Canis lupus familiaris: one gene and its partners. The protein of the gene in region 1 interacts with the protein of each later gene in a pairwise test. Links are inferred from orthologs where the notes say so. Each region holds a gene or a part of one and is shown in the gene's direction. Other genes may lie near its edges.

Region 1 (3,500 bases):
TGGCCCATAGGCCACAGTTGCCATCTCCTGGTCTAAGATACAGTGAATACCTCACAGTAGATCATGAATATCTCAAGATACAGAGTATTAGCAATAAGATTTCCTCCTGTTTCTTAATGCTTTTTTTGAGTTGTCACCTCATTCTCTGATGTCCAGCTAACTACTCTTGGCTATACGGCAAGAATAGCACAAAGCCTAACTAAAAGGACTACAGAAAATGTTTGTAGATCATACTGTACAGATGTCTACTCTCTTCTACAGTAGATGGGCTGATGAATCTTTTTTTTTGGGGGGGGGGCTGATGAATCTAATCTCTTTCTTTTTTTTTTATTCTGAAATTGACCCATCACCTCATAGGAAACCCAGAGGTTCTGTGAACAAATCCATACTGCCATCAAGGAAATCATTACAGTATACTATTCACTTCCCAAGGATCAAGGTAAGCCAATGTATATACAGAAATGTTTGGTTATAGAGTATATCTTTGCTAATATGACAGCTTCTGTCCTGAAACTTTTACCTTTTCCTCAATTTGAGCATGTAATGTAACTTTCTCCCATAAAATGCACTCAAGGGTAATTCTATAACATCAGTGACATCCGTAAATAAGCCTTTATGCTAAGGTATGGATGCTGTATTACCATCTTCCCTGCTTTGCCTGACTGTAAGGCTTTTAATTCTTACTGGCTACCCCATCTCTAACTCATTCTAACGACTATGGATGCTGGATCTATAGGGGCCTCCCCAGTCTCCTCCACCCATATTACATCCCACCCTGTTTCTGAGCTCCCTTACAGGTTAAATGACCTCTGTCCCTGCCCATAAATTAATGCTTTGATTATGATTGTGCCAAAATTATAAATGAATACGTGTCTCCTGGATCTTCAGGGTTAGTCACAGATGGTTTAAACTTCAAGTGTTTCATCCACAGTTATCAAGAGACCATTAACCTTAATGAATATATACATGCTGTCATGGAAAGATTTTGTTTCAGATCTTTCTCATTCAGCACTCAGTGGGAGGAACAAGAAAATGATATGGGGAAATACATAAGACTTGAGTTTTGTGTTGGCACTGCAATTCAAGCATGTGGGTGCATGTTACCTCAAGTTCTAAAGGGCTTAAACTCTTGAGAAAGCAGATGGTGACTTCTGGAAAGAAGACCAGGCTACTTAGTCTTTGGGTTTCTTTAGGAATCACCCTGAGAAAGCTGGTACGGAATGCCACTCTGGACATCGTAGATGGAATGGCTCAACTTGTGGATGTGCTTTTCATAACTCCAGCTCAGAGGTAGTGATGCCATAGTTTGGGTTGTCAGTTAATGGGATTCCTTGCTTCAGGGAGGGGAAAAAACCTCATTTCAACAAGAGTTACTAACAGCTGTGAATGATGACTCGCAGGAAGGAGATTTTTAGGAAAGAAGAACCTTGGTTATTGATATATCCTTATTGATTTCCTTTCTCCAGCCTAGAGAACAGTGACCTTATTTCCTACAACAGTGTCTGGACTGCATGCCAGCAGGTACCTCGAATACCAAAAGGTGGGTAAGAACTGGAAACGGGCCATTGACTCTGCTGGCCAAGGCAGACAGTTCTCTCATATCTCATTTCTAGTTTTGTGACATGTAAGTATTTTACTTTATAGTTTAGTGGAATACATAGAGTTTATCACCAATATCAAAAGAGAAGTATTAATATTTTTTCTTAGTGTTTTTAGTTCTTATACTTTTTTTAGCCCTCTTTCTGTAGCCCTATATAGTTGAACAGATGTGGTTTGTTCTCCTGGTCCTGCCCCAGGAGCAGTATTATGGGACACACTGAAGCACTTAGGAGATAGTGCCAGCTAGATCAAAAACAGTGTTCGTCCAAGAAGACCACAATGAGAAACATCAAGGGACCATTTTGTTTCTTCTTGTGGTGAATGATGAAAAGCTTTTTAACTCCTATCTGAGTACCCAGAGGATGGGTGTTAGAAAACTTTTACTTTAGACCACGCTCTTGTTGACTGTCCTGGGTACTCTCCTCAAATGCGAACACTGTTGGTTGTCATTTGCAGGCTTGACAGAATTTTGAGGTTTCTTCTCTAATTCTAGTGCTTCTGATTTTTCACTCATAGATAACAAAGCTGCAGCCCTTTCAATGCTGACGAAGAATGTGGATTTTGTGAAGGATGCACATGAGGAAATGGAGCAGGTGAGGGGACAACTCCATGATAGATGAGACTATAAAGGAAGGAGATGCCCTGGGCATTGATTCAATAAATCCCATCCTCACTCCTGGATTTCAACTCCCATCTTCTAGCCCATGCCACTGTGTGTTTTAGTACCGTTCCTCTCTGTCCATTACTGGGCTAGGAGAGTAAGAACGGAGTTTAGGAAGTGATTCAAATTGGTGGCCGTTGGTAGCTGGCTTGACGTTTTTGGGATAGCTTAGATATGATGCTGTAAGTATAATAGGCTCTTTTTTTTTTTTCTTTTTGGCATGTCTTAGGCCGTAGAAGAATGTGACCCATACTGTGGCCTCTTAAATGACACTGAGGACAACTCTGACAACAATGGTGATGAAGAGAATGATGGGTTGGGGTATCCAAACAATCGGGACTTATATTGGTCAGAAGAAGATCAAGAGCTCATAATCCCGTGCCTTGCACTGGTGAGAGCATCCAAAGCCTGCCTGAAGAAAATCCGGATCTCAGTGGCAGAGAATGGTAAGAAGGATCAGGTGGCCCAGCTGGACGACATTGTGGATATTTCTGATGAGATCAGTCCTAGGTAAGCAGGATCCCCACTTGAAATGTGAGCATCAGCATATAATATCAGCTTGTGCTGTCACCCCAAGCTTTTCCCAGTTTTTTGAAAATTTTCAACCTACAGGAAAGTTGAAAAAGTATTGCAGTGAACATCCATATAGCCTTCATCTAGATTCACCTGTTGTTCACATTTTTTTTTTCCAATATTGGCTTATTTCTCTATGGATAGATGTGCTATTTTTCTCCTGAACCATTTGAGAGTAAGTTGCAGACATCAATGACATGTCACCCATATATAGTTCAGCATGTATCTCCTAAGAACATTCTTATTATTACATCCAAGAAATTTAACATTGATTACAATAATATTTATTTTTTTTTTTCTATTTTTATTATTATTATTATTTTTTAATTTATTTTTTATTGGTGTTCAATTTACTAACATACAGAATAACCCCCAGTGCCCATCACCCATTCACTCCCACCCCCCGCCCTCCTCCCCTTCCACCACCCCTAGTTCGTTTCCCAGAGTTAGCAGTCTTTACGTTCTGTCTCCCTTTCTGATATTTCCCACACATTTCTTCTCCCTTCCCTTATATTCCCTTTCACTATTATTTATATTCCCCAAATGAATGAGAACATATAATGTTTGTCCTTCTCCAACTGACTTACTTCACTCAGCATAATACCCTCCAGTTCCATCCACGTTGAAGCAAATGGTGGGTATTTGTCATTTCTAATAGCTGAGTAAT
Region 2 (4,090 bases), on another chromosome or scaffold:
AGGGCTCGATCCCACAAACCATGAGCCAAAATCACAAGTCAGATGCTCACCTGAGCCACCCAGGAGCCCCCCTAGACAGGGCCTTTTGAGGGCTAAGTGGATATCAGAAGCACAAGAGTTTTTAGAATCTGAGGGAGAAACAGCCCCTAATCAGATCATTTCTCTAATGATGGTGTAATTAAGGGAACTAAGTGGTCTGAGAGAAAAGTTTAGGGAGCACCAAAGGGCTGAGTCTTGGGGGGTCAGGGAAGGCTGCCCAGAGGGGATGGTGCCTATTCTGAGATCAGACGGGATGAGAAAGGTCATGTGGGCCGCTATAACTTGGGTTTTTTTTTTTTTTTTTAAGATTTATTTATTTATTCATGATAGACATAGAGAAAGAGAGAGAGAGAGAGAGGCAGAGACACAGGAGGAGGGAGAAGCAGGTTCCATGCCGGGAGCCTGACGTGGGACTCGATCCCAGGACTCCAGGATTGCGCCCTGGACCAAAGGCAGGCACTAAACCGCTGAGCCACCCAGGGATCCCCTATAACTTCGGTTTGAACCTAAGAACAATAATGCAGTTGCTGAGGGGGTTAACCAGATTTTCAATCTAGGAGACCCTTCTCTGGAAGGTAAAGCTAGCCCGAGGCAGGGACTGAGGAGCGGGAAGCTTGGGGAAGCCAGGAAAGGCAGTGCGGTATCCAGAGGGGACAGGATGCTCGCGGAGACTAACGCGGTAGTTAGGAGAAAGCTGCCAATAGATAAAGGGTCATTTGGGAGGTGAAATAAGGCTTGGCCATGGGTAGAGCCCAGCATGCCTCCAAGCCACGAGATGGGCAGCCCCACAGCACCCCTCTTGTGAGAGGGAAGATAGCACCCGAGACACGGAAGGTCACCATGTGTCACCACGGTGGATAGAGCCTTGGTGTTTCAGATTTCAGGGAGGAGGCAAAGGCAACAAAAGAGCTGAGGGAGAAAGGGCGCCATAGGACAAAAGGCAGCCATGCCTGATGCTGTCGGGAGGCCAGGACTAGACACCTGGCCAGTGTGACAGCCTCAGGATTGAGGGACTTGAAGTCAGAGCTGGGATCGGGATCCTCAAAGCTAGGGCTCAGGCTGGAAGGCGGAGGAGCTGCTAACATCCCCCGACCCAGGCCTGACCCAGATGGAGCTGTCTGTCCCTCTGTACAGACTGAGGACTAGGGAGCAGGATGGAAAGCCAAGCGAGGACATCTCCCCTTTGACAAGCTGCCTGGGACCAGAGGCAAAGGTGAAAGTGAAAGAAGATGCAGAAAGGGGCCAGCCAAGCTCAGGAAAGGTGAAAGCGAAACCAGGAAGCCCCGGACCAGCCAGGCGGGTGCGGGACAGAGGACCCGGCTTGGGCCTTTCTTGCTCCCCGCTGGTCGCACAGAGACCCCCAACCCCTGGACCACCCTGCCCACCTGGAGATGCTGAAGCTGGCGTCAGAGCCCCAACGGGGCTTCTCCTTCGAGAACTGCCAGAGGTGATGGGGGTGATGGTCTAGAGCTGAGCTGCTATGCTCTCCCCGAAGGCCTCGGGCACCGACACTCCAGGGCCTTTATTCCCGGTGGGGGCGGAGGGGCGGCAGGGTGTGCTGGGCGACTTGGGTTGCCAGGCTCCCGCCGCTAGACGCGGGCGAGGCTGGGACGTAGTTGGAGGATGTGATGCGGCCCCAGAACCCCAACCTGGGCCACTCCACTCCGTTTCCAGAAACGCATCCTTAGAACGCGTCCTCCCGGGGTTCCGGATCCCTCGTGCACACAAGACCGGAACCACCATCGCGGGCCTCGTGTTCCGAGTGAGCAGGGACTTGGGCCTGGGGGCTTGGAGGGGCTGCTGGGGGATCCAAAGCCACTGGGCCAGCGACCCTCTCCCACCAGGATGGAGTCATCCTGGGCGCGGATACGCGGGCCACTAACGACTCGGTCGTGATGGATAAGAACTGCGAGAAGATCCACTTCATCGCCCCCAAAATCTAGTGAGAAATCCCCAACCCCGACCCCCTACTCAAGACCAACCCTGCCGCCGGCCCCCCCGCCCCCCGCCCCCGGCCCCTGCTTCTCCGGGCCCCACCCACACCGAGCCTCCACTCGTTCTCAGCTGCTGTGGGGCTGGAGTAGCCGCGGACGCCGAGATGACCACGCGGATGGCGGCGTCCAACATGGAGCTACACTCCCTGTCCACGGGCCGCGAGCCCCGCGTGACCACGGTCACGCGCCTTCTGCGCCAGACCCTCTTCCGGTGCTGGGGCCGGGCTCAGGCGGCCCCGGGGACGGGCGCGGCCGGGGGGCGGGACTGAGGGGAGCTGGGCCGGGCGGGGGCGGGGCGGCCAGAGCCGGGACCGGAAGGGGCCGCCCCAGGAGGAGCCGGGCGGCCGGAAGGAGCGGCGCTGCCCCGGTCGCCAGCACAGGAAGGGGCGGGGCCCGGGCCCGGAGGCGGGGCTGACCACGCCCACTCCCCCCAGGTACCGGGGCCACGTGGGCGCGTCGCTGCTGGTGGGCGGCGTAGACTTCTCGGGACCGCAGCTCTACAGCGTGCACCCGCACGGCTCCTACAGCCGGCTGCCCTTCACCGCCCTGGGTGAGCGCTTCTCCCCTTTCCCTGCGGCCCTGGCCTCGCGTTCGTCCCGCGACTGGGTGGCCACGACCGACCTCAGATGCCCCTCCTGCCCGCAGGTTCCGGCCAGGACGCCGCGCTGGCGGTCCTGGAGGATCGGTTCCAGCCGAACATGACGGTGAGCAACACCTGTCCCCCACGACGTGTTCACTGACGGGAAGCGCACGCGGGAGTTGGGGTAACACACAGGGATCCTAGTAGAGGTCAGGGAGGGCTTCTTGGAGGAGGTGACGATTGAGTGGAGGCCGAGGGGCCAGTGGAATCAGAATGAAGTAGTGCTATTCCAGGAGACGATCATCAGCGCCAGAGTTTGAACTGCCCGGAGAAGTCAAAGCTCAGGACCATGTGAAGCTGAGGGAGGAGGGAACGGCAAGTGGGGTCTGGAGTCCCGATTCTGTTTGAGGTGGGATGGAAGTGAATGACAGGTGTTGCTTCAGAGGCGCCTAAGGCCCGGAAGTGAAAGAGCAGTGAGCTGGTAGTTTGGGGACCGAGACGCATTGGTTGGGGGGACAATCCTGGAAGCAGAACCGTAAGTGTAAGAGAAGTTTGTGAACATGGGACAGTGAGACAGTCTCTGGAGAGAACGAGGCAGAGGCCAGGGCAAGGGAGTCTGGGCTGGCTGGGGGAATAGGGAATAGGGGTCTGGGTAGGAGCAAATGGTAAATAGTCTGGGCTTTGAGATGAGCAGAAACCTGTAGGCTGTAGGCTGAAGGGCGCCAGCAGGGTCCGGCAGGTCTCCCCCACACGTATCGTCACAGCTAGAGGCTGCGCAGGAGCTGCTAGTGGAAGCCATCACTGCTGGGATCCTGGGTGACCTCGGCTCCGGCGGCAGTGTGGATGCATGTGTGATAACGGGGACCGGCGCCAAACTTCTGAGAACATTAAGCTCCCCCACAAAGCCCACAGAAAGGTGGGAACTTGGGAAATGGGGAGACCACTGGGGAGGATGGGGCAGTAGCAGGGCAAATGGGGGACTGCAAGATGGACTATATGATGGGCCCAAATTGAGAGGCTGTCCTTCCCTTCTCCCAGACCCAGCCAGTACTACTTTGCCCCTGGGACAACAGCAGTCCAGTCCCAGACAGTGAAGCCACTGACCCTGGAGCTGCTGGAGGAAACTGTGCAGGCAATGGAGGTGGAGTGAAGTGGGATGATGCTTAGGGCTTGGAACAAGGAGGAATAAACATAGAAAATAGAAAAACACCTAAGCAGATGGCTGTGTCGTTCCTGGGTGGAGAGGGGACAAGCAGCCATCAGGACTCTGGCTAATGTACACCTGCAGGTGCCACTCCCTGCCGTGGCTCCAGTGCCTGGCCTAACAGGTGGCTTCACCCATCACCTCAGGCATCTACTCCTCCGGAACCCCAGCCCTAGCAAGCACGGCAGCTACAGGAGGGGAGCCCCCTGCCGACTCCACACTGCAGAGGTCCCCTGCTGCTCCAGTGCCTTGCTCTTGCCCTCTAGTCCACCT
Region 3 (3,981 bases), on another chromosome or scaffold:
TAGGCAAATTTGAAACCTGGCTATGATCGTTTGTTGTCGGACCTTGGTCCAACTAACTTTGCCAAGCCTTAGCTTCTCAGTCTGTAAAAAAATAGAAATATCTACATCTAGGGCTGGTCGTTTAGACAAATCGAATTAGGCTAACTAATGCGTCTCGTCTGACACACACGGAGCCCTCCACACAGCTCCTAACATGATTAAATAAGTGAAGTTATCTCAGGGGTTGGGTCGGGGCATTATCTCATAGATACACGGGGAAGAGAACACATAGTTCGAGTCTTATTCACAGGTTGGTATAAGCCGGCATTTTATTTTATTTTTATTTTTTAAAGATTTTATTTATTTATTCATGAGAGACCAGAGAGAGAGAGAGAGAGAGAGAGAGAGAGAGAGAGGCAGAGCCAGGCAGAGGGAGGAGGGAGGAGCAGGCTCCCCTTCCGGGATCCCGAGGTCACGCCCTGAGCCGAAGGCCCACGCTCAGCCGCTGAGCCACCCAGGCGTCCCTAAGCAGGTGTTTAGACAAACTTTTTTTAGAAGATCTATTCTCGAGACAAAGAGCACGCGCGCTCAAGCGGGGCGAAGGGCAGAGAGAATCCCAAGCTGACCCCCCGCTGAGCAGGAGGGGGGCGGGGGGGGCGGTGCGCAGCCCAGACTCCGGGCTCTCGACCTGCGCCCACCCCGCCAGTCCCGCCGCTCGGCCTACGGAGCCACCCGGGCGCCCCTAGCCGGGCACTGGAAAAGCTAGACCTCGGCCTATCTTCGTGTCTCACGGCGTGTTATTAAATGAAGCTCAAAATTAATGGTTTAGAGCTCAAGTTCTTTTATTCCGGGTTCCAGACGGAGCTCGGAGAACCCTGCCTCATAAGGGCAGGTCCCCACAACGTGCGAGGCCTAGCGCTGACTCAGACGCCTACATTTTCAATGTGTGCTTTTACGAAGGGGAGAAAACCGGGTACGTTCAGAGACAGGTCAAGGAGCGATCTCTAGCGAGGGGAGCTCACGTCCCCAGGGAACTAAAAACAGGAAAAACGTAGCGCAGCCCTAACACAAGACTGCAAACCTCCCGAGCTGCCGGGACACTCCCGCACGCCCCAAACCCCGCGCCGCTCGCCCCGGGCGTCCTCCCGCACCCGCGCGCCGCGCGACTCGAGGCTCAGAAGCTGCTGCGGTGCGACAGGGGCGGCGCCGCGGCCGTAAAGCGGCGCCGCGAGACCACGTGGGCTCCGAGGCGACCCGCGGCGCCGGGGAGGGTGTGGGCCCTCCGATGGCGGGTCCCGTGCAGGCCGGCGGGGCAAGAACCCTGGACCTGCTCCGGGCCTTGCCCCGTGTGAGCTTGGCCAACCTAAAACCGAATCCAGGCTCCAGGAAACCGGTAAATGGCTGGAGGCGGTGCGGAAGCGTTGGGGACGGGACATGGAAGCGGCCGTTCGCTCCGCGTCCTTCTCGGGGACTCCTTTCCAGAAGGGGGTTGGGTGCCTTGTTCTCAATTGCACTGAAGAGCGGCTTCCCGTAGGGTCCTAATTCTTAGTTTAGTTTTGTTTTTTTAATTTGTATTTATTTATGATAGTCACACAGAGAGAGAGAGAGAGAGGCAGAGACACAGGCAGAGGGAGAAGCAGGCTCCATGCACCGGGAGCCCGACGTGGGATTCGATCCCGGGTCTCCAGGATCGCGCCCTGGGCCAAAGGCAGGCGCCAAACCGCTGCGCCACCCAGGGATCCCCTAATTCTTACTTTTATATCTTAAAGCACAATTATGTTAACTAGGGCGGAGGACTGAAGTCGCAGAAACTATAAAATGATTGTTTCTATCAAAATTGTATCGAAGGGGCGCCTGGGTGCCTCAGAGCTGTAGCGTTGGCCTTCAGCCCAGGGCGTGACCCCGGGGGTCTCGGGATGTCACGCATCGGGTTCCGCGCCGGGAGCCTGCTTCTCTCTCTGCCTGTGTTTCTGCCTCTCTCTGGGTCTCCGGTGAATAAATAAATTAAATCTTAGGAAAAAAAGACACACGCAAAAAAAAAAGCCCCCACAAAATATTTAAAATGAAATACATTCCCTGGTATCTTTATTTTCATGGGAAAGATTCGAATTGATTGATTATGGTAGATGTCTCTTCTGCGAATCATGAATCCGCTAGGAAAGCTGCTAGTTGATATATTAGCATTTTATTTAATTTTTAAAGGGTTTATTATTATTTTTTTAACCGAATAATCGCTATACCTAATGTGCGCTCTAATTTACAACCAGAGTCGCAGCCCCCCCCCCCCCCCCCCAACCAGCCAGTCGCGGGGACAAACTCCTTTAAAAAAATCACTTGCTTTTAGGAAGTAAGAGGAAGTTAATTTAAGAAAAATACTTTCTTTACTAATTAACGTTTCAATAACGTTATTTACTTGCATAACAATAAAGTATTTACAATTCCAAAATAAAGGTTCTGGAATATCGTATAAACCTTGTTTGTTGGGGATGTTTGATTCTAGGATTTTTTTCCATTGCAGTCTATCATAGAATTTTTTTTTAAGATTTTATTTATTCATTCATGAGAGACAGAGAGACCAAAGACCCCAGGATCAGCCCTGAGCAGAAGGCAGAGGCTCAACCACTCAGTCCCCCAGGCATCCTGTATCATAGAACCTTTATCTCCATCCCATCCTTGGAACTTTGCCTTTAAACATAACTTGGGCTTTGGTTACAAGGATTTGCTACATCTTCAGAGGCAAAGATGCTAACCTAAAAGTAGGGATTAGAGTAAACAATGCTTGGCACAGAGTAGTGTTAGCTGGTACTGGTTAATTGGATAAATGAATGGCATCACAAAAAAATACACAAGTGAAAAGATGAAATACAGTTTTTTAAAAATGCAGATCGTACAAAACTCTTTTCTGTCCTCAGGAAAGACGGCGAAGAGGTCGGAGAAGAGGTAGAAAATGTGGCCGAGGCCATAAAGGAGAGCGGCAGAGAGGAACCCGGCCCAGACTGGGTTTTGAGGGAGGCCAAACCCCATTTTACATTCGAATCCCAAAATACGGGTTTAATGAAGGTCATAGGTAAAGTTGCTTTGCTTTTTCAAGTAAAAATCCCTAATTTTCACTGACAATCACCTATAAAAATAGCTTGATAGAAATTGAAATTCACTTTGTTGTTGTTGTTTTTAAGATTTTTATTTTAAAAAAAGATTTTTATTTATTTATTAGAGACACACAGAGTGGGGGTGGCCAGAGACACAGGCAGAGAGAGAAGCAGGCTCCATGTGGGGAGCTGGATGTGGCATTCGATCCTGGGTCTCTAGGATCACGCCCTGGGCCGAAGGAGGTGCTAAACTGCTAAGCCACAGAGGCTGCCCTGAAATTCACTTTGAAGCAGACTTTTGTTGCCATTTCTCTGAACCATTTTTGTTAATGAAATTTAGGCTGGATTAGCAGGAGGGAAAAAAACCCAGACTTTCTTTGTATTCAGACCTGCAAATGGAGATAATAATGCCTGCTCTTATGGTTGGTTAGAGGCTGAGCAATAATATATGTAAACATCTGGACAATTATAGTCATTCAGTAAAGGAAAACTATGCTTGTTACTTTGAGTTCCATTAATACATCATTCGAATGAAGGGTTAAATTTTTGACAAATTTGTTTGAATGAGTAAGTAAATGCCTAGAGAGGCAAATTATTTTTAATGAAACGAAGTACTAGTTTTGTTTCATTAGCAAAAAGCAATATTAAGTGTTTCTGTTGTACTCAGGAGGGTTTTGTTACATTAGCTAAATCAGGAAAATACAGGGCAAAGTTGATTTGAGTTGATTTGAAGAATTTACAGGAAGATAAGCTTAACTGAGTTCTCCAGTTGTTACTTTGTTTTGTAGCTTCAGACGCCAGTATCAGCCTTTGAGTCTCAATAGATTGCAATATCTTATTGATTTGGGTCGCGTGGATCCTACTCAACCTATTGACCTAACTCAACTTGTCAATGGGAGAGGTGTGACCATCC
Region 4 (4,018 bases), on another chromosome or scaffold:
TTTCTTGATTTGGGGGCAGAGAATGAAAGTCTCTATCCAGTCATGGTGATGTCAGCATCATCTGACCTTTGGCCAACACCTTTCTGCATATGTGGTATATACGGAGCAGTGTAAGATCATTATCCAGGGTCCAGGCTGGAGAACAATGTCATGTTCAAACCTTGTTTTTTTACTCATTCGAGAGAATGAGAAGCTTGGGAGCAAGTTACCTAGCCTCCCCAAGCTTCAGTTTTCTCATCAGCAAAATGGATATAATAATAGTACCTAACTCTTGGATATGTTGAGATAATTAAATGAAATAATTGGTAATAAGCACTTAGCATAGCGACTGGCTCATAAGAAGCTCTTAGTATACACTAGTATTCTTTGTATAGAAAATCCTTCTCTTTATAAAACTCTTTATAAGCTTTATTTTAAAGGCTTAAACTCAAAGTAGTTGTATTAACTAAGGGCCTGCTTAAATTGGACTTAAGGGTTTTTTTTAGATGGAAATCTTTGCTGTGGTCAAAGATCACGCTCTAGTGCTACTTCTTATCCATCCTATGAATACAATTTCTGTGCTCTGCTGTAATAGACTGACCGTATTGTCGCCTACTCTGCCTGCCTGGGATATGTGAACTATGCCAAGCCTCCCTTACCTATGAATACTTCCTCACACTGCTTCCCTGCATTTCTCTCCCACAACATATTTGAGGCGGTTATCACAATACTCATGGACATTTTCCTCTCTTTCTTCTCTTTCAATAAGAATTCTTAATTGTGCAGACTCAGGATTGGGAGTGACCAAGATGCCTAAACACACACACACACACACACACACACACACACACACACAGTCTCAGTCTCTCTCTCTCTCTCATTCATGCTCATATAATTTAGTTTGGTATATAGGACTCAATTCATGGGGTCTTTTCCAAAGCATTAAAGACTAAGCACTTCTTAAAAATGTAAGATCGACCAAAAATTTTTTTGAACATCCAAAGAGTACTCTCATTGATCTTTATAAAAATTTTTGGAGACTAAAGGAAACATTATGTAGGGATTTCTTTTGTCCTACTGGATAATTCATTGCCCAGTCCTGACACTGCTTTTCCCCATTGGGTCTTTGTGAGAGTCACATGCTTTGGACATCTTTGAAAAGAATCTTCTGAGGCTTCAACATCTCATTTGAGTCTCCTAAGTCTCATCTAGAAGTGTGTTGAATTGTCATCCGTCACCATGAGCAACAGATTCCTGGGCACCTGGAAACTTGTCTCCAGTGAGCACTTTGATGATTACATGAAAGCTCTGGGTAAGAAATGTTCCTTGTTGCTCTGGTTGAGAAGATCCTTTTTGAGAAGACTGCATGACTATATCCTTCTAACTCCTTTTCTAGGACTCTGGGGAAGTTTGCACAGGCTGAAGTACAATCCTTTCCTGCAATTAATCTTCTATTGTGTCATTCCAATAATTTAGTACACTTTGTGGAAATATTAATAGATTTTAACCTAAGAGCTGCTTAATTGTATGGAACCTCTACTGATTTCACAGGTGGTTTCAGATAAGGTAGTTTCGTATCAGTAAGACTTTGATTTTAGAGGAAAGAAATTTTAGAGGCTTAGTCAACCCATCCTCTGGCTTTCCTGAAGGTTCATTTTATAACAGCTGAAGTTCTCATAAAATAAGTAGTTGAATATACTAACGTTAATAGAAACTCCAACTTAAAATTTTGGTGTTTGACTAAACCAGAAGTTTACACTAATTACTGATGTTAGGCTAACATCAGACCTTCCTGGAGTTGGAGCAATGGATGAAGATGGAAAAATCTAGTTATAAGTTTTATCAACTTTATACTATCTCTAGAGAATGTTCCATGACACGAGGACAATAGGTGAGAAGTATCTTTGGAAATTTCCAGAGCTGTATAAATATAGTAGGAAGAGATTCCAATGATCCTGGTTGCTATGCTTGTCAAAGTGCCTGTAACTTTCCTTACCTGTTCAGAAAGCTTATGAGAAAGGTTGTATTTTTAAGTAAAATGAGCAAAATCATGTCATATTGCCTAGAAAACTACTAGAAATTATGGGGGAAGATCCATACTAACTGGATAGACTTATGGACTTGACTTCATAGCTGAGGAAGAAGCAAAAATACAAGAGCGTCAATGAAAGACTCCGTAATTCTGTCATTTTTCAAGTTTAGAATGCATAAGATCACCTGGGAGTTTAGTATAGTGTACATTTTCAGACCCTACTGCAGAGATCATATATACACATAAAACTAGTTTTTTATACGTATATAAAACTAGTTTTTCCTTCATTTTTTTCTCTCATTTGACATTTCTCCTTTTCCATGTGTTTCTATAGTCTTAGTAATAATAGTAATAAAACCCAAGAGTCTAATTTTGTTTCATTTTTCAAATGCAGAACATTTTTTAAAAATCACATTAACTATGATCATGTATAATGGTACAGATCTTGAAAGGAGATGGGTAGTTTTTTCTACCAGCTAAGCTTAGGGGCCATGACAAAATTTCAGCAACGAGATTCTATTAAGGATGTGAGGGGAATTCTTTTCTATATCCGTAATATACTACTGAGGAGAAGAAATCATAGAATAGTGGGTATCTGTCATAGTCTCATTTTAAAAATACCTGTAATAGTTATATGTAGAAACTAAAATGTCTGGAATGATCCATACAAAAGATTGGTGATTTTCAAGGACTGTGGGGTTGGATGTGGTAAAAGTGGATGACTTGAACTATTTAGGTTAAATGCATTTTTCTTTAAAATCTGCAGACATTATTATTGTAATAATAAAACCTAAAATATTTAAGTCTATGGGCAGGTATTTCCATTAGGTGGTGAAATGTGGGAGGAGGTCCTCAGGAGTCAGTGATACTACCTGCCATCTCCACATCTGAGGCACAACTGAACACAGAATGTGGCCATTCACAGACTCTCTAGGTATAACTCTTTGTCAAAAGAATTCTAACTCTATCTTGATTTTTAGGTGTGGGGTTAGCCACCAGAAAACTGGGAAATTTAGCCAAACCCCGTGTGATCATCAGCAAGAAAGGGGATATTATAACTATAAGAACTGAGAGTACATTCAAAAATACAGAGATCTCCTTCAAGTTAGGTCAGGAATTTGAAGAAACCACAGCTGACAACAGGAAAGCAAAGGTAAATTTTAATGTTTCTCTTCAAAGTTGGCTCATTCTAGGATTTGAGAGGATTACTCCTGTTAGTGTTCAAAAGGGTAGACCACTCTGTTCTATTGAAAATGAATGTGCCTTTGAGGCCCCTTACTTGATCTCAGGATTTTGATTTTGACTCCAATGTTGGGTGTGGAGGCTACTTTAAAATAAATAAAATAGGGGCACCTGGGTGGCTCAGGGATTGAGCGTCTGCCTTTCGCTCAGGTCATCAACCCTGGGTCCTGGGATCAAGTCCCCCTGCATATGTCTCTGCCTCTCTCTCTCTGTATCTCTCATGAATAAATAAAATCTAAATAAATAAATAAATAAATAAATAAATAAATACAACAGAAAATGAATGTGCTTCATGAGACATCTATTATGAAAACAATTCAATAGTGAATGAATTTCTCTGATCAACCAAAATCCAAACAACTCGATTATATGAATTTGTCTTTGCAGAGCATTGTAACCTTGTCAAGAGGCTCATTGAATCAAGTGCAGAAATGGGATGGCAAAGAGACAACAATAAAAAGAAAGTTGGTGGATGGGAAAATGGTAGTGGTAAGAGTAGTTTCACTTCTAAATACAAAATAATGGTATTAAAGAAATGTGTAATATTATTTTCAAGATTTTCTTCTTTGCAATACAAATGGTTAAAAATGGCTAAGTAATAATGTCAGAGTTAACGGTTAGATGATATTTCAACCATGAAGACTCATCTATAAGTACTTCAAGTATTGGTCCAAAATTTTAGAAAGAACGCCTAAAAATAATGGTAAAGTCAAAGAATATGGATAAATCTCACCAGTTTGGACTTACAAAGAGAAAAGCAAGTCT
Region 5 (3,193 bases), on another chromosome or scaffold:
TTTGCAGCTCGTGGCCCAGGGGTCTGAGGGCCGCAAAGGGAAGCCCCTCCTGGGCCGTGGCCTCCTGGCACCACCACGCGGGCCGGCTTCATATTCTGATTGATACTTTGCTGTTTAAGGGTTCTCCCGGGGTTCGGGAAGGCGGGCGCCGGTCCGCCCCTCGGCCCTGGGCTCCCCCTGCCGCTAGCATCCTGAGTCCTGCTTCGTGCCGTGTGTGGGTTCCAGGCGGGTGGCAGCGTGGGGTGTTCTCAGCCGCCGGACCCGTGGTCCACGAGGGGCTCTGGGTGCCGTCCCGCTGTCACGGGGTGGCCTCGCGGCCCCAAGTGCCCACTCCCTGCCCGCTCCCCCGTCATGTGGTCAGTGAGCGGCACCTGGTCCTCTCCACGGTGGGCTGTGGGTGGGGGAGCCGTCCTGTCTGCCTGGGCCTGCGTGTCTCGGAGGCTCTTTTCTCTGGGCGGAGGATACGTTTAGTTTTTCTGAACAAAAGGTGAAAAAAGAAGAAAGGAGAAGAGAACGTGGTGAGCTCCCCGGCTCCTCGTTTTGGGATCGCCACCTCCCAGCCGCAGGGTCCCCGCAGCCTGTGCTGCCGCTCTGCTGACGGCCCGCCCCCGTGTCCCCGCAGCACCCACGCGTGGACCCTGAGGAGCTCTTCACCAAGCTGGACCGCATCGGCAAGGGCTCCTTTGGGGAGGTTTACAAGGGCATCGACAACCGTACCAAGGAGGTGGTGGCCATCAAGATCATCGACCTGGAGGAGGCCGAGGACGAGATCGAGGACATTCAGCAGGAAATCACCGTGCTGAGCCAGTGCGACAGCCCCTACATCACCCGCTACTTCGGCTCCTACCTGAAGGTGCCCGCAGGGAGGGGGCTTGCTCTGTGCTGGGCTGCGCTTGGGTACGTGCCGCGCCCCGCCGTGCCTGGCGCCCCCCCCCCCGCCCCCTGAGAGGACAGTGCTGATGCCTAGTGTTCCGCAGGGTCAGAAAATCCTGCTCAGAGCCTGGGCTGGCGACCCCCCGGGGGCCAGTGGGGAGCAGAGGTCTGGTCTGAGGGGCGGGAGGCCTAGGCAGTTGAGCGCAGACCCAGCTTCACAGCTGCCCCCAGAAAACAGCCCTGAGGCCCAGGTGGGCGTGTGGGTCAGGAGTGGGGTCTAATTGCTCTGAAGTGGCCAGTGACCCATTGCTGGCTGGCGGCATCTCTCCCGGAGCTGGGGCAGCCCCCGTGGGGCAGGCGCTGGGGAGCCGTGCCAGGGCCACTCTGGGACCCCTGCAGCCGGAGCCTGAGGCCAGCTCCTGGGGGGCTGCCCAGGGGAAGGGGGCTACCTGGGGTGCAGGTCCACAGAAGCCGAGGGCCACCTGGGCCTCCCATCTTCCCGGTCTGGTTTTTGATGGGGTCTCGGCACAGTGGACCCAGCCCCTGGACCATCTGCAAAGTGGCTGCGTGGGGGTGTGATGGGAGGGGGCTGGATGAGGCTGCTGGGCCCTTGCATGGGGGTCCCTGAGGGGCCAGGGGCCCGAGTCCGCCCTGCTGGGGAGAGTGTGCCCTGGGGGCCCGGCCGTGCCCCTTTGCTCTCCGCCACGTGCTGATAGGTGTTTTTCTGGTCCTAGAGCACGAAGCTGTGGATCATCATGGAGTACCTGGGCGGCGGCTCCGCGCTGGACCTGGTGAGGTGTAGGCCGCAGCGGGGGGCAGCTTGCCGTGGGCAGGAGCGGACCGAAGGAGGTTGCTGTGGGCGCTGTGCCGCGGCAGCCCTGGACCCGAGGACCCCTGGGTGCCTCTCCTCTGCTGTCTTGGCGTATCACGTATTAGTTAGGAGCCATCTAAGCCAGACGATGTGTGTTTGTGGTCCTGGGCCCACGGGCTGGTTGGCGCCCCCAGGCAAACAGGCCGGGTGCTGCGGCTGGGACCCCGCTTTGCAATGAAGAAGCAAGCCGCGTACGCGCTCCCCGCTCAGTGTGCGAAGCTCCATTTATTTCAGGAGTTGAGGGAACAGGAGGCCCCTGCACGCGGCAGGGCCCCTGCCCCTGGTAGAGCGGGGTCAGGTCAGGGCCCGGGCGAGGAACGTGGAACAGCGCAGGAGAAGGGCCGGGGTGTGTCGGTGGGGGTGCTGAGCCTGCCCCCCGCTCTGCCCGCAGCTTAAACCTGGCCCCCTGGAGGAGACCTACATCGCCACCATCCTGCGGGAGATCTTGAAGGGTCTGGACTACTTGCACTCAGAGCGCAAGATCCACCGAGACATCAAAGGTCCCTGTGCCCCCCATCCTGCCCCTAGAGTGCCACGGCGTGAGGTGGCAGGGAGGGGGGGTGCTGGGCGCTGAGGGCCTCCTGTCCCCGTGCGATGAGAACACTAGCCTTGCACCTTGTGGGAGAGGGGACCTCTTTAAACCGGAAGTGTGGACCTGGGGAGGCGTGGGGGGGCGTGAGGGCAGGGGTCACGGTCCCCTCTGCTGGCCATGCTGTGGCTCTGCTCTTGGGTTTGTCATAGAAGGCAAACGCCGGGAAGGCCCTGGAACCCTGCCGGGGGTGCCCACGGGGGCTCCTCGCACTGGCGGCTGCCCGCCTGCAGCGCCTGTGGCCCCGGGTCTCTGGCCCGTCGGCTGGAGAGGAAAGCCAAGGTCCCGGGAAGAGACGGCCACGCTTCCTCAGGCAGCCGTGTGCGGGCCGGGGCCTGCGTGGTCCTGAGGGTGACACGTGCTGTCCTGTGTTGAGCAGCTGCCAACGTGCTGCTCTCGGAGCAGGGGGACGTGAAGCTTGCAGACTTCGGGGTGGCGGGGCAGCTCACGGACACGCAGATCAAGAGGAACACGTTTGTGGGCACGCCTTTCTGGATGGCACCCGAGGTCATCAAGCAGTCGGCCTATGACTTCAAGGTGGGTGCGGTGGCGGGTGGGAGGGTGGCCGCGGCACGGCTCGGGGAGCTCCGGGTAGCAACGGTGCCGCATGGCTCTCTGTCCAGGCCGACATCTGGTCGCTGGGGATCACAGCCATCGAGCTGGCCAAGGGCGAGCCTCCGAACTCGGACCTGCACCCCATGCGCGTCCTGTTCCTCATCCCCAAGAACAGCCCGCCCACCCTGGAGGGCCACCACAGCAAGCCCTTCAAGGAGTTCGTGGAAGCCTGTCTCAACAAAGACCCTCGATTCGTAAGCCCTGCTCCCTGGGCCGGCTGGGAGGCGGCTCTGCGGCGGGGCTCC
Region 6 (3,126 bases), on another chromosome or scaffold:
CTAACTCCCAATGTGGTTCCTACCACCTGTTGAGGCCACTGAGCTGGCCTGTCTTTTGTTCCCTGCCTCTAGATGTAGATAATGGCTACTACACCGTCAAGTTTGACTCACTGCTGCTGAAGGAGGCCGTGGTAGAGGGGGACAGCATCCTGCCCCCGCTGCGCACAGACCCCACGGGATCCTCAGACTCAGACAGTGGCGACCCAGATGACCCCAGCTATGCCAGAGGTATGGCGGCAGTTCAGGATCCCAGAAGCCAGGAAAGTGGGGCAAGGGGAAGTGTCGGTAGCAGTCACCCCGAGAGGCTTCCGGCTGGCAGGGCCTGTGACCCTCTCACCACATCCTTGGAGAGTATGGGGGCAGTGAGGCAGACTGTGTTCAGAAGGGGCACGTGTGACTGAGGACACGTGGAAGCCCGCCACAGGCATTGGGGGCAAATGAGAGCGAGCGTGTGGAGTCTGGGGCGGGCCCTGAGGCCTGCAGATGGAATGACCCGGCCCTAGTCTTCAGGGAGCACACGGGATGATCGCAGCTCCACACCCCGCAGGCCGAAGCCGTGTCCACTGAAGCAGGGCTGGCCGGTCGGCGTGCGAGGGACCGGCGGGGCATGGGGGCAGGAAGGAGCGGCTCCTTCCAGTGGTCTCCACGTGGGGACACCTAGTAGCTAGAGGGGAGGCTGTGTCGAGAGAGCCGGGGCAGGAGCTGTTCAGGAAGGGTAACTGGGGGGGATCCCTGGGTGGCCCAGTGGTTTGGCACCTGCCTTTGGCCCAGGGCGCGATCCTGGAGACCCGGGATCGAGTCCCACGTCGGGCTCCCGGTGCATGGAGCCTGCTTCTCCCTCTGCCTGTGTCTCTGCCTCTCTCTGTCTCTCTCTCTCTGTGACTATCATAAATAAATAAAAATTAAAAAAAAAAAAAAAAAAAAGAAGGGTAACTGGCTGAGGGCGTCCAGCCCTCCCAAGGGGTCAGGTAGGATGGAGAGGGGAGGCGTTCCTGTGGAATCTGTCCGGTGAGGTGGTAGTTCCTGAACCCCCATGTCCACGGTGGTGGAGGGGAGGACTGAGCCGCGAAGTCGTGGACTTTCTACGGGGGGAAGAGGGGAGCTCACCGCCTGAGAAGGTGGGTCAGGGGAGGGCTCGGGTGGGGAGGTTGGCCCTGCGGTGGGGGGGCTGGAGCAGACTGCGCCAGACTCTGCCGTGAGTCCTGCCTTAGTCACGTGCCGGTGACAGGTCTGGGCAATCACCGGAGAGCCTGAGGCTCAGGGCACCACGACCCTGGCCCGGAGCTGAGCTCTCGGGCTGACACTGGCTGGAGCCCAGGGTGCTCCCCGTCCAGCGGGGCCGAGCCACTGCCCTGTTTCCTACAGTGGTGGAACCCAGTGCTGCCGAGCCCGGGACCTGCAGCTCCGCTTTCGCTGGCTGGGAGGTGCACACACGGGGCATCGGCTCCAGACTCCTTGCCAAGATGGGCTACGAGTTTGGCAAGGGTGAGTGTGTGCCGCCCTGGGGAGGGGAGGGGGCCGCACAGCGGGGCTCGGGTCCAGCAGCGGTAGCGCCAGCCCCGTGTGCCCCCAGGTCTGGGCCGGCATGCCGAGGGCCGGGTGGAGCCCATCCACGCTGTGGTGCTGCCTCGAGGGAAGTCGCTGGACCAGTGCGCAGAGATCTTGCAGAAGAGGACCAAGGGCGGCAAGGCTGGCGCCCGGAGGCCCCCGAAAGGCCAGGGCAGTGGGGGTGGACGCCCTCCCCCTCGTAGCGTGTTTGACTTTCTGAACGAAAAGCTGCAGTGCCGGACCCCGGCGGCGCTGGAGGCTGCGGCGGCCCCCGCAGGGAGGAGGAGCGGGAAGGAGATGTACCATGCCAGCAGGAGTGCCAAGCGGGCCCTGGGCCTGCGACTCTTCCAGACGGAGAAGAAGATCGAGCAGACCCAGCGGGACATCCGGGGCATCCAGAAGGCTCTCGCCCGAAACACCGGCCGGTACGTGTGGGGCGAGACTTGGGGCAGGGGGCGGCCCCCTGGGTGTCGATGCCTCAGCCCTGCCGTGGGCCTCCTGCCCACTTTCCATGCTGTGCCTTCTCGCCTGCACGTGAGCTGGAGCGCGCGCTGACCCCAGGGTGGTGGCTGTCCGAGGAGGGTCTGGTGCTTGGAGGAGGAGGGCCGTGGCCACGGGTGTGGGGGCCTCGTGCCAGTGGCCCAGCAGCTCGTGCTGAACGGCAGGCTCCTCCTCAGGCACAGTGTGACGGCGGCCCAGCTGCAGGAGAGGCTGGCGGGAGCCCAGCGGGAGCTGGGGCAGCTCCAGGCCCAGGAGGCGGGTCTGCAGCGGGAACAGAGGAAAGCAGACACCCACAAGAAGATGACCGAGTTCTAGAGCCCTGTGTGCCGTGGACGGGGCTCAGGGACCCCAGCTCCCGGGTGCCCTCGGGGAGACCAGCTGTCACCCGACTAGATGCTCCTGGAAGAGGGGCTGGCCTGCTCCCAGGCTACACCCCACGGCCAGCGGACACTGCTGAGAGGACATGGGGCTGCAGGGCTCCCTTCTGGACACTTCCTTGCCACTGAGCCCACCCGCCAGTGTTTCGGGGGGTCTCCTCAGCGAGGACATTAAAGTGATTGTGTTGTGGTGTCTTTCATTGGAGGCTCGGCTGGCTTGTGGGACCTCGGGGGAGAGGGGTCCCTGCGCAGGCCCGTGGGCGCCGGCGGGAGGGCCCTGCGAGAGCCCGCTGGCCCCTGTCCGGAGGCAGGCGTCCTCTGCTGTCTTGATGGGGCTCCGCCAGCAGCTCCGAGCTGGGTCGCAGCTTGGGGGCCGCCCATGTTGCCCAGCACCCGCAAATGTGTGGGACTGAAGGGGTCGTGGTCGGTGAAGAGCCCTTGGGAAGCCCTGCTGCTGAGGCCGGAGGAAGCCCCAGGTTCTGGAGGCCTCGAGGCTGCCCCGGCCCGTGACCCACGCCGGCCCAGCTCATGGTGGGTGGAGACGCCCGGAGGTAGGCTCGGAGCAGCGCTGGCCCGCCGCACACCCCAACCAGGCAGCGTCTGCACCCCGCGCGGGCTGCAGCCAGTGGGTGAGGCTGTGATGGCGACGGCTGAGTGGCTGAGGGAGATGCAGGAGATAGATGCACAGCAGGAAGTGAGG
Region 7 (2,403 bases), on another chromosome or scaffold:
CATAGTGCCCCCTGTAGCATGACTACAAAAAGAAGGTGCTAGAAATTCCACTTAAATTCCTGGAGACCAAGGATTATGTCTGCCATGTTCACCACAGTAGCCCCAGTGCCCAGTGCTGGATATTTACTGAAGAACTGATTTCATTAGTGGAGAAACCAAGGTAAGTAACTGGTTTGGCTGACAGTTTTATTCTCCTGAGTGTTCTTTTGATTGATTGATTTTTAAAGATTTATTTTAGAGAGAATGAGGGTGGGCAGAGGGAGAGAATCTCAAGCAGACTCCAAGCTCAGCACAGAGCCTGACATGGGGCTCAAACCACGATCCTGAGATCACAACCTAAGCCAAAACCAAGAGTCAGATGCTTAACCAATTGTGCCAACCCAGGCCCCCACTTCATCATCTTTTTTAAAAAACTTGCCTCCAAGTGTTGGTGTTGAGTCAGCTTTCTTCTATAACCCCCTCCTTTTCTCCTAACCAAATTTACTTTTTGTTTTGAGGCATCATTCGAATTCTGTTGCAAGCCACAAATGCCTCTCCTTCATCTGAACTCCCGGAATTACTTGGGCCCTAATCATCTGCCAAGGATAGGCCATAGAGGGAGGTAGCACTTGGCACTGGACAGGCAGAAATAGAGAGTAGAGGGAGAAGGAGGGACATTCTAGGAGGCACAGCATCTCTTTAGGGAAGAATAGGAAAGCCTTGGTGTGGCTCTAGGTAGAGGCTGTGGGAAGGGGAGGGTTAGTGGGAAGTAATGGCAAGCAGCCAAAGGATCATGTAACTTTCCTGCTCAAAACCCTCTGATGGCTTCCCACCTCAAAGGAAAAGCCAGTCTTTCCAAAGGCCTACAAGGCTGTCTACTTCTCTTGCTGTGCCTCTCCTCTGACCTCTACACACCTCTACACACACTATACCCCTGCATTGTTCAGTCCATTGCTGGCATCCTAGCTTCCTGGCTGTTGCTCAGACACCCCAGGCACATTATCACCTCATAAATTTTGCTCTGTTCCTTCTGCCTGGAATGCTCTTCCCCAAAGTCTCTGCACCACCATTTTTGGTGAGGTCCTTCCCTGCCTACCCTATTTAAAATTGTAAATCCTGCTCTGACGTACTCCATTCCATCCCTGTACTGTCACAATCTAACTATGTAATTTACTTAATCATCATCCACACCCTCCAACCCCAAATGTAAGTGCAACGAGGGCAGGACTTTGTCTTACTTACCACTTTACCCCCAATGTCCTGGGCCTGGCACAGAGCAGATGCTCAGTATGTATTTGCTGGGTGGATGACAGAAGGTTGGACACACAGAACAGATACATGGGAGCCAGATCAAAACAACAGGTGGGGCCTGCTCTGAGATGGGCTTTGGGGCAAATGAGAGGAGGGATCAGCCAACCAGATAGGAGGTAACACATTCAGCTGGTCTGGAGGAGGAGCCCCAGATCTAGGCCAAGACAGTGGGCGTGGATGGTAGGCAGGACTGGTGTATACCATCCAAACCATCCCTTCCCACCTATGTACCAAGCAGGTTTTAGGAATCCATCTATAGAAATAAAAGCACCAGTATAGAGGCTTGATGCTCAAGAATGTTTATTGCAGCATTGTTTGAAGTAGTAAAAAAAAAGGGAAGGGGGAAAAAGGCTGAATTTCTGAAATTAGGAGACTAGTTGAATAAAATAAATAATGTATCCATTCTAAGAACTAGTATATAGTTTTAAAAAATAAGTTATATATAAATGGAGTGATCTGGAAGGTTGTCCATGATAAATTGTTAAGAGTCTATTACTGAATATAATAGAGTATGATCCAGTGTTTGAAACACGAATGTCATATACACCCATGTATCTTTGTACATGTTTGTATTAACATTAAAAAGTATGGAACAAGACCAACAAATCCTAACAATTGCTCATTGTGGGTGGGGGTGGGGGATTGGAGGAGAGAAGGGAAGACTCTATACTGTTTGACTTGTTTTAACAGGCAGGTATCATTTTTATAAATTTAAAAAAAAAAAAAAAAAAAAACAGGTAGGTGCCCCTCACCCAAACCTTCCTTCCCTAGGAGGAGACACTCTGCCCCTACAGTGCAGCCCGACATCCAGCCAGAGGGTCTTGCCTTCCAAACAGACAACCTCGACCATCTACCTGCCTCCCATCCTGGCGGCCCGGCCCCACCTCCGGCCTGCCAGCATGTGCCAAGCCAATGGGGCCTACAGCAGGGAGCCATTCAAGCCTCAAGCCCCCCGTAAGTGAGAGGGCCTAGAGAGCCCCTCTTCCACCTCCTTCCCCAAGGGGCCAGGGGTGGGGCAAGCAGCCCACAGGGCAGGTGAGCAGGTGTCTAATCAAATCCTCATGCTGTTTATACTAATGTGCTTGAACCTTGGCACTTGTTAGCTTGGGGGTG

The links.
Region 2: the proteins of CCNDBP1 (region 1) and PSMB10 interact in binary tests that used the Homo sapiens proteins (3 or more experiments, as listed by UniProt). The two-hybrid records come from large-scale screens. The link is inferred for Canis lupus familiaris from reciprocal best matches to the Homo sapiens genes CCNDBP1 and PSMB10.
Region 3: the proteins of CCNDBP1 (region 1) and MRPL15 interact in binary tests that used the Homo sapiens proteins (3 or more experiments, as listed by UniProt). The two-hybrid records come from large-scale screens. The link is inferred for Canis lupus familiaris from reciprocal best matches to the Homo sapiens genes CCNDBP1 and MRPL15.
Region 4: the proteins of CCNDBP1 (region 1) and myelin P2 protein interact in binary tests that used the Homo sapiens proteins (3 or more experiments, as listed by UniProt). The two-hybrid records come from large-scale screens. The link is inferred for Canis lupus familiaris from reciprocal best matches to the Homo sapiens genes CCNDBP1 and PMP2.
Region 5: the proteins of CCNDBP1 (region 1) and STK25 interact in binary tests that used the Homo sapiens proteins (3 or more experiments, as listed by UniProt). The two-hybrid records come from large-scale screens. The link is inferred for Canis lupus familiaris from reciprocal best matches to the Homo sapiens genes CCNDBP1 and STK25.
Region 6: the proteins of CCNDBP1 (region 1) and ZGPAT interact in binary tests that used the Homo sapiens proteins (3 or more experiments, as listed by UniProt). The two-hybrid records come from large-scale screens. The link is inferred for Canis lupus familiaris from reciprocal best matches to the Homo sapiens genes CCNDBP1 and ZGPAT.
Region 7: the proteins of CCNDBP1 (region 1) and C10H22orf23 interact in binary tests that used the Homo sapiens proteins (3 or more experiments, as listed by UniProt). The two-hybrid records come from large-scale screens. The link is inferred for Canis lupus familiaris from reciprocal best matches to the Homo sapiens genes CCNDBP1 and C22orf23.

The regions. Positions count from the first base shown.
Region 1 is NC_049251.1:10,350,662-10,354,161, forward strand, and holds part of CCNDBP1 (cyclin-D1-binding protein 1), read left to right. Parts: intron 1-357; coding exon 358-439; intron 440-1,193; coding exon 1,194-1,290; intron 1,291-1,466; coding exon 1,467-1,540; intron 1,541-2,115; coding exon 2,116-2,192; intron 2,193-2,489; coding exon 2,490-2,770; intron 2,771-3,500. UniProt on the Homo sapiens protein: May negatively regulate cell cycle progression. May act at least in part via inhibition of the cyclin-D1/CDK4 complex, thereby preventing phosphorylation of RB1 and blocking E2F-dependent transcription.
Region 2 is NC_049226.1:82,145,633-82,149,722, forward strand, and holds PSMB10 (proteasome subunit beta type-10), read left to right. Parts: upstream 1-1,290; 5' UTR 1,291-1,430; coding exon 1,431-1,486; intron 1,487-1,713; coding exon 1,714-1,801; intron 1,802-1,883; coding exon 1,884-1,981; intron 1,982-2,103; coding exon 2,104-2,244; intron 2,245-2,467; coding exon 2,468-2,583; intron 2,584-2,678; coding exon 2,679-2,737; intron 2,738-3,377; coding exon 3,378-3,529; intron 3,530-3,651; coding exon 3,652-3,763; 3' UTR 3,764-3,822; downstream 3,823-4,090. UniProt on the Homo sapiens protein: The proteasome is a multicatalytic proteinase complex which is characterized by its ability to cleave peptides with Arg, Phe, Tyr, Leu, and Glu adjacent to the leaving group at neutral or slightly basic pH.
Region 3 is NC_049250.1:6,005,020-6,009,000, forward strand, and holds the start of MRPL15 (39S ribosomal protein L15, mitochondrial), read left to right. Parts: upstream 1-1,181; 5' UTR 1,182-1,264; coding exon 1,265-1,372; intron 1,373-2,891; coding exon 2,892-3,046; intron 3,047-3,856; coding exon 3,857-3,981.
Region 4 is NC_049250.1:29,194,816-29,198,833, reverse strand, and holds the start of myelin P2 protein, read left to right. Parts: upstream 1-1,218; coding exon 1,219-1,291; intron 1,292-2,991; coding exon 2,992-3,164; intron 3,165-3,640; coding exon 3,641-3,742; intron 3,743-4,018.
Region 5 is NC_049246.1:51,486,373-51,489,565, reverse strand, and holds part of STK25 (serine/threonine-protein kinase 25), read left to right. Parts: intron 1-622; coding exon 623-853; intron 854-1,607; coding exon 1,608-1,664; intron 1,665-2,135; coding exon 2,136-2,244; intron 2,245-2,712; coding exon 2,713-2,870; intron 2,871-2,956; coding exon 2,957-3,142; intron 3,143-3,193. UniProt on the Homo sapiens protein: Oxidant stress-activated serine/threonine kinase that may play a role in the response to environmental stress.
Region 6 is NC_049245.1:48,113,882-48,117,007, forward strand, and holds the end of ZGPAT (zinc finger CCCH-type with G patch domain-containing protein), read left to right. Parts: intron 1-72; coding exon 73-228; intron 229-1,365; coding exon 1,366-1,485; intron 1,486-1,573; coding exon 1,574-1,973; intron 1,974-2,225; coding exon 2,226-2,364; 3' UTR 2,365-2,626; downstream 2,627-3,126. Other genes in the region: LIME1 (lck-interacting transmembrane adapter 1), read left to right, coding at 2,806-2,977. UniProt on the Homo sapiens protein: Transcription repressor that specifically binds the 5'-GGAG[GA]A[GA]A-3' consensus sequence. Represses transcription by recruiting the chromatin multiprotein complex NuRD to target promoters.
Region 7 is NC_049231.1:27,710,968-27,713,370, forward strand, and holds part of C10H22orf23 (UPF0193 protein EVG1), read left to right. Parts: intron 1-1,573; exon of another isoform or gene 1,574-2,061; coding exon 2,062-2,244; exon of another isoform or gene 2,245-2,403.